Linked DNA regions of Arabidopsis thaliana. The protein of the gene in region 1 interacts with the protein of each later gene in a pairwise test. Each region holds a gene or a part of one and is shown on either strand. Other genes may lie near its edges. The genes, in order: AT4G37180, AT5G01380 and NAC097.

Evidence for each region.
Region 2: the proteins of AT4G37180 (region 1) and AT5G01380 interact in a two-hybrid assay, tested with the Arabidopsis thaliana proteins (one large-scale study listed by BioGRID).
Region 3: the proteins of AT4G37180 (region 1) and NAC097 interact in a two-hybrid assay, tested with the Arabidopsis thaliana proteins (one large-scale study listed by BioGRID).

Annotation. Positions count from the first base shown.
Region 1 is NC_003075.7:17,502,512-17,506,271, reverse strand, and holds the start of AT4G37180 (Homeodomain-like superfamily protein), read right to left. Parts: upstream 1,709-3,760; 5' UTR 1,625-1,708; coding exon 1,399-1,624; intron 1,328-1,398; coding exon 1,146-1,327; intron 1,056-1,145; coding exon 740-1,055; intron 626-739; coding exon 549-625; coding exon of another isoform or gene 492-548; exon of another isoform or gene 456-491; coding exon 165-455; 3' UTR 1-164.
Region 2 is NC_003076.8:155,980-159,739, reverse strand, and holds the start of AT5G01380 (Homeodomain-like superfamily protein), read left to right. Parts: upstream 1-2,138; 5' UTR 2,139-2,288; coding exon 2,289-2,624; intron 2,625-3,320; coding exon 3,321-3,760. UniProt on the Arabidopsis thaliana protein: Probable transcription factor that binds specifically to the core DNA sequence 5'-GTTAC-3'.
Region 3 is NC_003076.8:20,677,109-20,680,821, forward strand, and holds NAC097 (NAC domain containing protein 97), read left to right. Parts: upstream 1-2,113; 5' UTR 2,114-2,116; coding exon 2,117-2,303; intron 2,304-2,329; exon of another isoform or gene 2,330-2,365; coding exon of another isoform or gene 2,366-2,405; coding exon 2,406-2,677; intron 2,678-2,775; coding exon 2,776-2,898; 3' UTR 2,899-3,166; downstream 3,167-3,713.

The DNA.
Region 1 (3,760 bases):
TCTATCTATTTCCTCTTGCAAAAACAAACCCTACTTTTTGCTCAAAATCCTCTTCCTTATTTCAACTCTCATGTTTACATCTACAAAAACTCCCGAACAAACTCAAAGTTTTGAGCATATATAACATAAGTTGGTAAAGATTATATCATTCACTATGCAGACTTTCAAAGCTCAAGATCCAACACTTGTCTCTTCTTCTTTGTTTCATCATTTCTACAGCTACTACGTCCATCAGACTTCTCCTCCTCTTCATCCTCCTCCTCCTCATCTTCCTCTGAGCTATGACCAACATTACTACTGAACAACCCTCTTGCAACAAGTGGGCTTTGTGGCGAATCCGACCTCGACAAACTTATTAAGCTCTGCGATTCTCTCTCTAACACACCTGGCTGATCCGACGATGACAAAGTCTTTGTCGGATGCAGCGGATGCTTACGGATATGCATTCTATATTTCTGCAATAACAATTTCATTTCACCGCACTGTCAAAATCATTCATTCATCCACACATCAAAGTTTAAGTTACTGTAAAAGATGAGAACTTTTACTTGTAAATGGCTCTTGACTTCATCATTGGTTAAACCATCAACTTTCATCAAATCTCTAATCTGCTTTGGTGTAGCAACTGTCTCACAACAACAACAACAACAACAACAACAACAATACAAAACAATCTCAGTATAATCAATCAATCAAATCTAAAGCAAAGTTTGATCCTTTACTAAGGTTAAGGACTAACCTTGTGGCCCTCCAAGCCTATGAAGAGCATCAACAAATTTACGGTGAAGTTCCTGTGACCATCTCCTTCTCTGCTCTTTCTTCTGAATGTGATGACTCTGTGAAGAAGGTTTATTGAATTGATGATGATGATGACTCTGCTCAATTCTGCTATAATCCATCATCATCTCTGATGTTGGAGTCATGAGAGACAGAGGAGCTGGTGGTGGAGGAGGTGGGGGACGGTTAAATGGCATAAATACCCCTCCTTGATTAGGGTAATTACATGTCTGAAATGGGTTCTGACTCACACACCGATCTTCTTCTTCTTCATTTGTCTGTCAAAACATGATCATAAGGTCAACAAGATCAATCACACAACATATGATTCTTCACAAAACATAAAAAGGGTTGCTTTTTGATCGTACCGATCGGAATTGGGAATTAGGGTTCGAGATCCATAACTGGGCAGAGCTCATCCAGCTCTTCTTATCAGTTTCCGGTTTTGCCCTTTCAACATCATCGAATTTCCCATTAGATGCCATCAGTGATAACCCTTTTCTAGCCTCATCCTTCAACGCCCCAATCGCTACACAGAGAAAAACAATCTCTTTAAACAAAAACACGAATCGATTAGAGAAGATAAAAAAAAGAAAAGGAGAGAATTTTAATAAAAGATACCTTCGTTCAATAAGAGCATGCATAAAGGGAGTTCTCGTTTAAAAACATCGATTTTGTTCCTTTCTTCCTCTAATTTTCCGACATAACCATCGATTTCAGACAGTTTGGAATGATTGTCTTTGATCCTCGACACTTCATCGAGAAATTGAGATAAGGGTTTTGGTAAAGAGTAGATAGACAAATTCAGATTAAGACCCATCCTTTGATCGGTTTCTGTTTGAACCATCGGACAAGATAAAGACAAAGAGAAGCAAGCTTAAAGAGGTATATATAGAAGAAGATGATGAAGATGCTGAAGAAGATAAATGAGAACAAAAAAAAAATGAGATTAGGGAAGAAGAAGAAGGACGCGGTGAACCGTAGCCGCTGTAAATAAGTGGAGACTTGAGGGTGTTTTTGTCAATATTAAAATTAGATTTATCTTTAAATGGAAGAAAGAATCTTTTTGTGATGCCCGTACACACGCGGCGAATCGTTACACTCACTTATATATATTTATTCTTCTCTTTTTTTATATTTTTCTTTAAGGATTTTTTTCCTTTTAATTCGGCTATTAATTATATTACAATTTTCAGTTTTGGGAAACTTGTTATTTATTTTGTTTTTAGTGCTCTTCTCATTCAAGATTCTCATATTCCTGTTATCCTGTATTTAATATTTTCCCAAATTAGTCTTAAAAAGAGGATTCTGAAGAATCTATAATATTTTACAAACACTATTTTCTGCATATGGAGTGGTTCAGGCTGTGAAATATCCCACTAAAATATTTATTAAAGATAATATAAAAAGAATCTGTTGAAAGACTAAAAATAAAATAAAGCAACTCAATTATTGGATAAAAAATTAAAAATAAGGAATTAACAAAATCAAACTATAACTAAGAAAGATCAAATTTATTTGTACAAAATTAACAATTTTCTACTTTTTTAAAGAAAAATCAAATTTTATTTTCCTACTTTAACAATTAAAAGTAGATAAGTTACACTTTTTTGGAGTAAAAAATTACGTTTGAAATAAAGAAGATTTAGACTACAACAAATATTGACTTTTTATAACCTAAATGTTATGAGCTTGAAAGTTATACATTTATAGTCAACATGATATGAGATTAAATGTTGAATATAAAAAAGGTATGTACCACATAGTACATGTAGCACATCGTCAGAAATAACTTTGCTAGACCAACAATACCGAATGGGCATAACCGTGTATGGCCTATGGGCTATGGATTCATGTATTTGTTATTGTATCTCAAACACAGAGCTATACTGAAATCTCGGTTTCATGGAATTCGAACCACTCGTTTAAAAACCGATAAAACATTCAAACTATACAATCGGGTTTAATTAAACGATGTTCTTAGATAGGCAAAACCACATGTACGTTTATGCAAGTAGTACGATACATAAATTCGTACTTCAGTTTGTACTACTATCATATAACTAGACTAAATTAGTAGAGCCGTATAAATAATTAATCTTTACTAGTATAGGACATATTCGCTTTAGTTTATCTTTTCGAATAGAAAAATTATACTAAATTTTGCTAAATTTTACTAAAAAATTATACTAAACATTTTACCCGGAAAAAAATTATACTAAATTTTGCTAACACAAGCTACTAGCTGTATTAGAAATCGACACATACGTATGTGATTTTAAAAGAGTGAAGTGGTCAAAAGATCTCTTTGTCTTTTCTTTATTTTTACCACACGCAACGTCCATTTACATTCACGGTGAGCATTAGTTTCAAGAAATCACGTAACCTTTGTGTTTATAAGTGCCCTTTTCATGGTTTAGTTGGTTTTGGTTATCGTATTATGAATATTTTTGTTCATTTCAGTGTTGATATTCTTTTCAAGAAACTAGGTTGATCATTCTTATGTAGCACCATTATTTCTTGCAAATTATTCCACTACTCATCCATTTTTTTTACTAATCAAAACTTATATCGTTCAAAAGGTGAATTATACTTAATATTATTATATGAAATAAAACTCAAGAATTCTCTAGCAAAATGAGAAAAAAGGATCTTTCGCATAATCCAATGTAAAAGATCCCAGTACGCAAAGCTACTTTATTCCATGCTTTTTCCTGCTAGCCAAATACAAATTTCTTTCAATTTTAAAATAGCATTCAATTTTTTCAAAATAACATTTGATTCCTCTAACAAAAAGATATTCCGAAACACAGTAGCATGTAAAATGCCTAGGACCTATAAACAATAAAGACCACAAGGAATCTAACGGACGGACCAAAAGAAACGGCTCACTGTTAGCCAACTATACCAGGACACGTGTCCAACTAATCCAGATTCTTTATCATGAGAATCGTTTTTTTCTTTCAAGGAGGAACTGAAACGT
Region 2 (3,760 bases), on another chromosome or scaffold:
AGGTTTTTGGTATTTGTAACAACAATGTATTGTTGCAGTGACTCCAAATTCAAAAATGGAAGTCATGTGCATTCACCAAGTTACGGCAAAAGTAAAAGACTAAACTTATTACTATTTCCGAATAATCCGGAGCGATACCCTAAACAACATTCACCTCAAAAGTTCTAAATAACACGAATAGGCTGATTTTTGTATATATGCTTTTGGCTGACGTTTTTTTTTTGTTCTTTGCTTTAAGACTTCAATTCTTTTAAGCAAAAATTTGGATGGGAAATAAAAAGGATGATGAGGTGGCCTACTTGTATTGAGCGGATAAACATCAGCCAACAAAAATCTTTGTTAAAATAAAAAGTGAAAGACAGAGAGAGAGATGGCCACGTGGACAAACATGGTGGGCGTTTACACGTGGAATATAACAACACTCCGCGTTGCTGATTATTTGATTCCATTTAAATAAAATTAAAAAATACTGATTATTCTTTCTTTTGTTCACAGAAAATTCCTTCATTCACAATTTCTCTTTTAAATAATTAAAGACCACAAATTTTGAACATAAGAATTAGAAAAATTAAAGATCATTCACTAGAGTAGTCGACATTATTATTAATTTAGTATAAATAAATAAGGTGTGAATCCACGTGGGATGACAGGTGGGAGCGAAGTCTAGTGCATGTCATGTAAGATTTTGATTTACTTTCAACACGCTTCATCGCTATTTGGACCACTTCGCTGACTTTTTTTTGTTTTTTTTTTTACTACTGAGTAGTACTAGTATTTCTTACACATATCAGAGCCAAAAATACAACCCCGACGAATCTTTCTTTAGATACAAATAAAAAATATTTACTCCTACAAGTTTCATTCACCGTACGTTTTACTTGTTATATCATTGCAATGACGCGGCTTCTAAATATGTACTACCATATGTGTGTTTGGGAATCTGACAGTTGTATATTGCACTGGATCCAAACCATTTCAGAACAAGAGTACATTTTCTCTGTTCGTACGCATTATTTGTTTTGTGCCGACTGCGAATATAACGATTTCCATTTATTCATATACTAAATATCATACAATCCATAAATGAATAGTCTTCTTTTTTTCTTGGGGGAATTTACAATTCCAATCAAATTAATTTCTTAGCTAATCATAACGGTAGTCTTGTTTTCTGTAACTTAATTCTTCTTCTTTTTTATTTTGATAGGAACGTTAGGTATCTATTATGTAAAACTTGCTAACAACAATTCTCTAATTCTTTGTTTATATCTGATCTCTTCCTCCATGACACGGGGCTAATCTAAACTTCTAAAAGCATATTGATCCAATAGCTTATTTAATATATTTTGTCTGTCAACCATTAGGTTACTTTTGTTACGATGAATTTTTCAAAAGAAAAATACAAGAATTATGGGATGAGGAAAATCTAGTGGGTCAATTGACCATAAAGGCTAAATCGGATTGAAGAATAAAAATCGGATTGTGACTCGTAACTCGTAAGCGTGACGAAATATTAACGCAACATTTATATGTATTGGGACAAATTATTAACGAATAACTACCAAATGCAAAAAATACGAGACAGTTGAGTACTTGAGCTTGGTCACAAAATCATCATCAAGGAAAAACAATAACCATACAGTAAAAATATAGTTCTACAACTTTACAAATTTGAAAGCGTGTTTAGAATGATGCACACAAATAATCAATCTGTCAAAAAAAAACATATTGTTTGATTTTACTCTAAGATTAAGGCGATTGTTTTTACTTAAGATATTCTTAACTGATGCAAGTTACCCCTGTAATTGTTTGAGATTGCTATTTTTAAACTCTAGAATACGAAGAAAAAAAAAGTATGAATTATTTAGTTAGCTGCTTTAAATCTAGAGTTTATCATCCGAAAAAGGGATATCTAAGCTTTATTATTTTTAATGTAATCACGAATTGTGTCCTTTTCACCAAAAGAGTCATTCGTGTTCGTATTTTATTCAACTAAATAATTCTATAAGTTCTAGTATATTCAATAATTATTAAAAAATCTCATCTTAATAATTTTAATTAGAGAAAAGAACAAAAAACTACACTTCTATCGTCCCTCTACGATTTCACACCTTCTTTTCACACATCCTTATAAATTAATTAGATTCTTCTCTTTTCTCTCCTTCCTCTCTGTCTTCTCTTCTTTTTTTCAATGAAACCTCTCTTCATTTATAAGTAACCCAACAAAAAAATAAAATTATCTCCCTCTTATTTCTTCTCTTCACGTCACAAAGACAATTCGATTCCAAATAATGGACCGACGTAACCCTTTCCAACATCACCACCACCACCATCAGCTTCATCATCACTTGATCCAACAGCAACAGCTTCCTCCGCCGCCGCTGAGCACCACGGCGACGATGGATCCCGGCGGAGGAGGAGGAGGTGGGGAGAGAATCCCACAGTGGAGCATAGAGGAGACAAAGGAGCTTTTGGCTATAAGAGAAGAACTTGATCAAACTTTCATGGAGACCAAACGTAATAAGCTTCTTTGGGAAGTCGTGGCTGCTAAGATGGCCGACAAGGGTTTTGTCCGAAGCGCAGAACAATGTAAGAGCAAGTGGAAGAACCTCGTCACTAGATACAAGGTTACCCTTCAACTCTTTAGAATCCTATTGATGATTCTCTCTATATATAGTCCCGATATATACACCTATAAATGTTTAGTATGATCATGATTACAAGTATATACAAACTATAATTATGTGTATCATGTATTTCATCACTAGTTTGTGTGGTTAGACTGATATTATGCATATTGAAATGGAAACCTAGTTTATGGTGTATGTATAGGTGAACTACATTATATATACATCAATTAATGAGCTTAACCTAATCGCCTAGGTTTTTTAGATATTGTCCTGTCATTAATGGTAACGAGCTATAGAATAGAATTTTACGCGTTTATTGGTGAGCTTTCATCATGATATTGTCTATGTTCACATTTTGATCCGTTATACCATAATATCTCTCTTTTTGTTCGTTGATCACATGGTAAGTAAGTAACACAATATGCCATAAAAATATAATTACCGTTATATAACGGGTGCATAAGATTTAATAAGAACCGTTACTGATGAACACATGAAGATAGTTGAAAAAGTCTATACACACATTTATTTAAGGTAAAAGAAACGTGATATAGATGATGAACATGTGTTTTTGTTTTCCTATGATATATGATTTCGAGTTAAGATACTTGGTTAGCTAAAATATTTTGCGTCGGTACTATTACGTGTTTACATATAATTGTTTATATAACATAATGAATATTCATGGGACAGGCGTGTGAGACCACTGAGCCAGATGCTATTAGGCAGCAGTTCCCATTCTACAATGAGATTCAGTCGATTTTTGAAGCAAGAATGCAAAGAATGCTGTGGTCAGAAGCCACAGAACCAAGCACTTCCTCGAAGAGAAAACATCATCAATTTTCATCTGATGATGAAGAAGAAGAAGTTGACGAACCAAATCAAGATATCAACGAGGAATTATTGTCTTTAGTAGAGACACAGAAAAGAGAGACAGAAGTGATTACTACTAGTACTTCGACCAATCCAAGAAAACGTGCAAAAAAAGGAAAAGGCGTTGCGAGTGGTACGAAAGCTGAAACTGCGGGTAATACACTAAAAGATATATTGGAGGAGTTTATGAGGCAAACGGTGAAGATGGAAAAGGAATGGAGAGATGCATGGGAGATGAAGGAGATAGAGAGGGAGAAGAG
Region 3 (3,713 bases), on another chromosome or scaffold:
AAAAAAAAAAGGAAAGAAAAGTAACTTACTTGACTAACTTAGTATGCTTTGGTAAACCCATTCAATTAGAACTAGATTCAAAGACATTATTTTAAAACTATTTTCTTTTTGCATTGGAGAACCAATCAAAAAATTACGTTCAAGTGTATGTATGGTTAAAAAGAATAATTGAACATGAAGATGGTGCTTGTACCATATCAATATCAACCATCAATTGACAACACTAAGTTATAAAGAAATGAAACTTTTCATTTATGTATGTCGTTGCTTAAGAAATGTCGCTAAATCATCAAAATCTAAAGTAAAAAGAAGATTGAAAACAAACAAATAAAGGAAATGGAAAGCCAACATCTTCGAGGTGAAGAAAAGTACCAAATCCAAAATGCTGCGTGGGAGGAGTAAGACATATGATTCTAAATTGACAAATTTAAAGCTTTTTCTATATCCTTTATGAATATAAAACAAATAGAGCTTTGCCTACTTTCAACACATGAAAATTATATAGAGAAATTTTGGACTAGAATTAAAGCTAGATGTTAACAATTTAAAATATTTATCAAATATAAGCTAGTCATGTTGCATTCGAATTAAGATTCAGCAAAAGAAAGCTGATGAATACTCTCTTCCAAGTTCCAACCAATTAAACTAATCTCGATTCCTTAACAATGAAACAATCATCTTTAATCCATTTCATTTTCTTTTCTTAGTCTTTCGAAAGACAAATTATGTAACCTTTATTTCTAGTGTATAAAACATAACATTATACAAAGAGGACTAAACCTAAAATGCTATTTGTAAAAATCAAAGGCTGATGCTGGAAAGTTGAAGCAAAAAATTGGAACAACTTTGGTTTGGTGGGGGCTTTGGGAGCTTTATTGATCCAAGGAAAAAAAGGAAGGATAAAAGGCAAGTCACCAGTCCAAAGACACACATATATACAATAATTTATCTAAAATAATTGAAATTAAAGAAGTGCATGAGAGTAGAAAATTGAGTCAGACCAACATCTAATAACTTACTCGTTAAGTCAGCTTCTCAAATCTTTAAGTTGGGATCGACTTGGACTCTCTTTCAAATTCACTTTTGTTTTCTGAATATACTTTCTTATATTTTTCTTATTTCTTAATCATTGCTTATGCATATTTACTTAAATTTATTGTTTTAAAAATGTATTGTATCCCGACATTATTATTTCACTTGCCAAATGATAAAGACAAAGAAAATTTTGATTCCTCGATGATATAAGTTTTCCTTTTCCACGTATAAATTTATACCAAGAAATGATTTTACTACAAAATTATAGGTTGAACGTACGTCCAAAACTTTCGCTTATTTATGTACATTCATATCTATAATTCGTATATCATTCCGACATTACTATAAGAAAAAAAAAGGGTCGCATGGATATTTTTACATGGATGATATATACACTAGTCCCTAAACATGTGTAAGGTCCCTAACATAAAGGTTTGTTTTCTTTTTCGGTGTGAAAACATTTCAGATTTGGAATAAACACTGTGGTAATTTTTCGGGTTTAAATCCACTCTAAACACTTACGTGTATTTTTACCTGGGCTAACCGATCGGCTTATGAAAAATAAAATTTCAAATGCATGTTAAAATTAGTTCTGGGCCAATTGTTAGAAATGTGCTCGTTTTAGTTATTGATGTTGAATGTACTTATATGGTAATGAATCAGCGTGGATCTAGGCTTTTGGAACTTAAATCTTGTTTATTTCGTTTTGGTTGAAAAAATAAATAATTACCTTTGCCCAGGAAAACGAAAAAGGAACTAGATTATCTTTACCAAAAAAATAAAGATATTTTTGAATACTCGCTATATTCAAAACCTTAACAACGTTGACTGCATGGGTACATGCACCACAATTTGTTATGATGATCCTCGCATTTAAATAAACAAAAATGAAACCAATCTACGATCTCTGAATTTGCAGTTATCAATTTTTTTTTATCTATTTATCTCTTGAAATTAATAGTAGTACGTAAAAAGTATCTAAAGGAAAAGCAGAATCCGCTTTTGCCAAACTAAAGGTGACACACTCATAAGTATATATAAACAACCTAAACCAAACACAAAGGATACTCATAAGAAAGCAATGGACATTTCTGCGCAGAGATTTGCCATGAACGGAAGAAGCATGAGACTCCCTCCCGGGTTTCGGTTCGATCCCGATGATGAAGATCTTGTGTTCGAGTATCTCGCCAAGAAGGTCCTCCACCGTCCAATGGACTTCGATCTCCCTGAGCTCCGTTCTTGCAATGTTGATCCATGGGACTTGCTAGGTTTGCTACAAACTCTTCTCTCTAATAATTACTATACCATATCACGTCAAATGTATTGAAAAATGTGGTTTAGTGAATGTTGTACGTACACTTTTGTTGTAGGAGAGAAGAACAAGGAAGTGTATTACTTCGTGAAGAAGGAAGAGCGAGAGAGGAAGGGAAGAGAGACGTTATCCGGTTATTGGGAAGAGTGTGAAGAAGAGGAAGTAATGGAGGCTGGTGGTCGTGATTGTATTCATTTAGAAGGAAGGAGAAAGACATTTGCTTTCTTTATTGGAAAAAAACCTCGAGGGACAATAACTCCATGGATCATGTACGAGTTCCGACTTCTTTCCTCTAGAGCTACAAGGTGGTCATCGTCCCCTCTACCTCGGGTGAGTCACTCATTGGACTTTTATCTTTTTCTATAACATATATTTTTGTTGTAAGTAATAGTTTAGAGCTAACTATATCAATGTTTTGGGTTTTAAAGGGTGAGGTAGGAAAATGGAGGGCGGTGAAAGTCGTAGTGAAGGAAGAGAATGATGAAGAGATGGTGGAGGATGAGCACGAGTCTGACGAGTCTGATGGCGAGGAAGTTATTCAAAGCCGGTGACGACCGAGGTTGATGCCATAAATATATGTACTTGGTTTTGTGGTGAATCGTTTGAATTTAGTTACTATTGTTAGGATATTAGGGAACATCTAAATGAAATATATATGCATGATTTGTCTTATTGTCTTCCAAGCCCTTTGGAATGGAATGGAATGTAATTGAGGATGTGGTGAAAGATGCCACAAGTTGCTTTCACTCTCCCGTTTTATTTTGTTCTTGTCCAATTATATATATATATATATTATTAGTGGTCCGTTAGACCAATCCATCCAACATCACATGAGGAGGTCTTCCCACAATATAAATACAACTAGATTTTAATCCGCGATATACCGCGGGACGATTTATTTTTTAAAAGTAATATATATTAAAATTTGCAAATTTTATTTTTATAAAATATTTATATTTTACAGTTTATAATTATTATTAAGTAACGCTATACCACGAATCCATGAGACAATTTTTAAAAAACTGAAGTTGTAACCCCTATTAAAACAGCATATTAATAATATTTTAAAATTTTATAAATATTGATTCAAATACATCCACCATATAATCCAATTCCAAAATAAAACCTGTTGTATAATTTCTTTACCCGTCCCGTGATTTTTTTTTAAAAAAGTAATTTTTAAAATTTAAGAATTATTTTTATATATAAAAGTTTTGCAAATTATATCATTCTCTAATACATTTATATTTTATAGTTTAATTTTATATATAGTAACATTATACATACTACATAATATTTTCGGTTTTATATAATCTTTTCTAAATTAGGATGATTTGATATGTTTAATATTAGTGGTCTTAAAAAA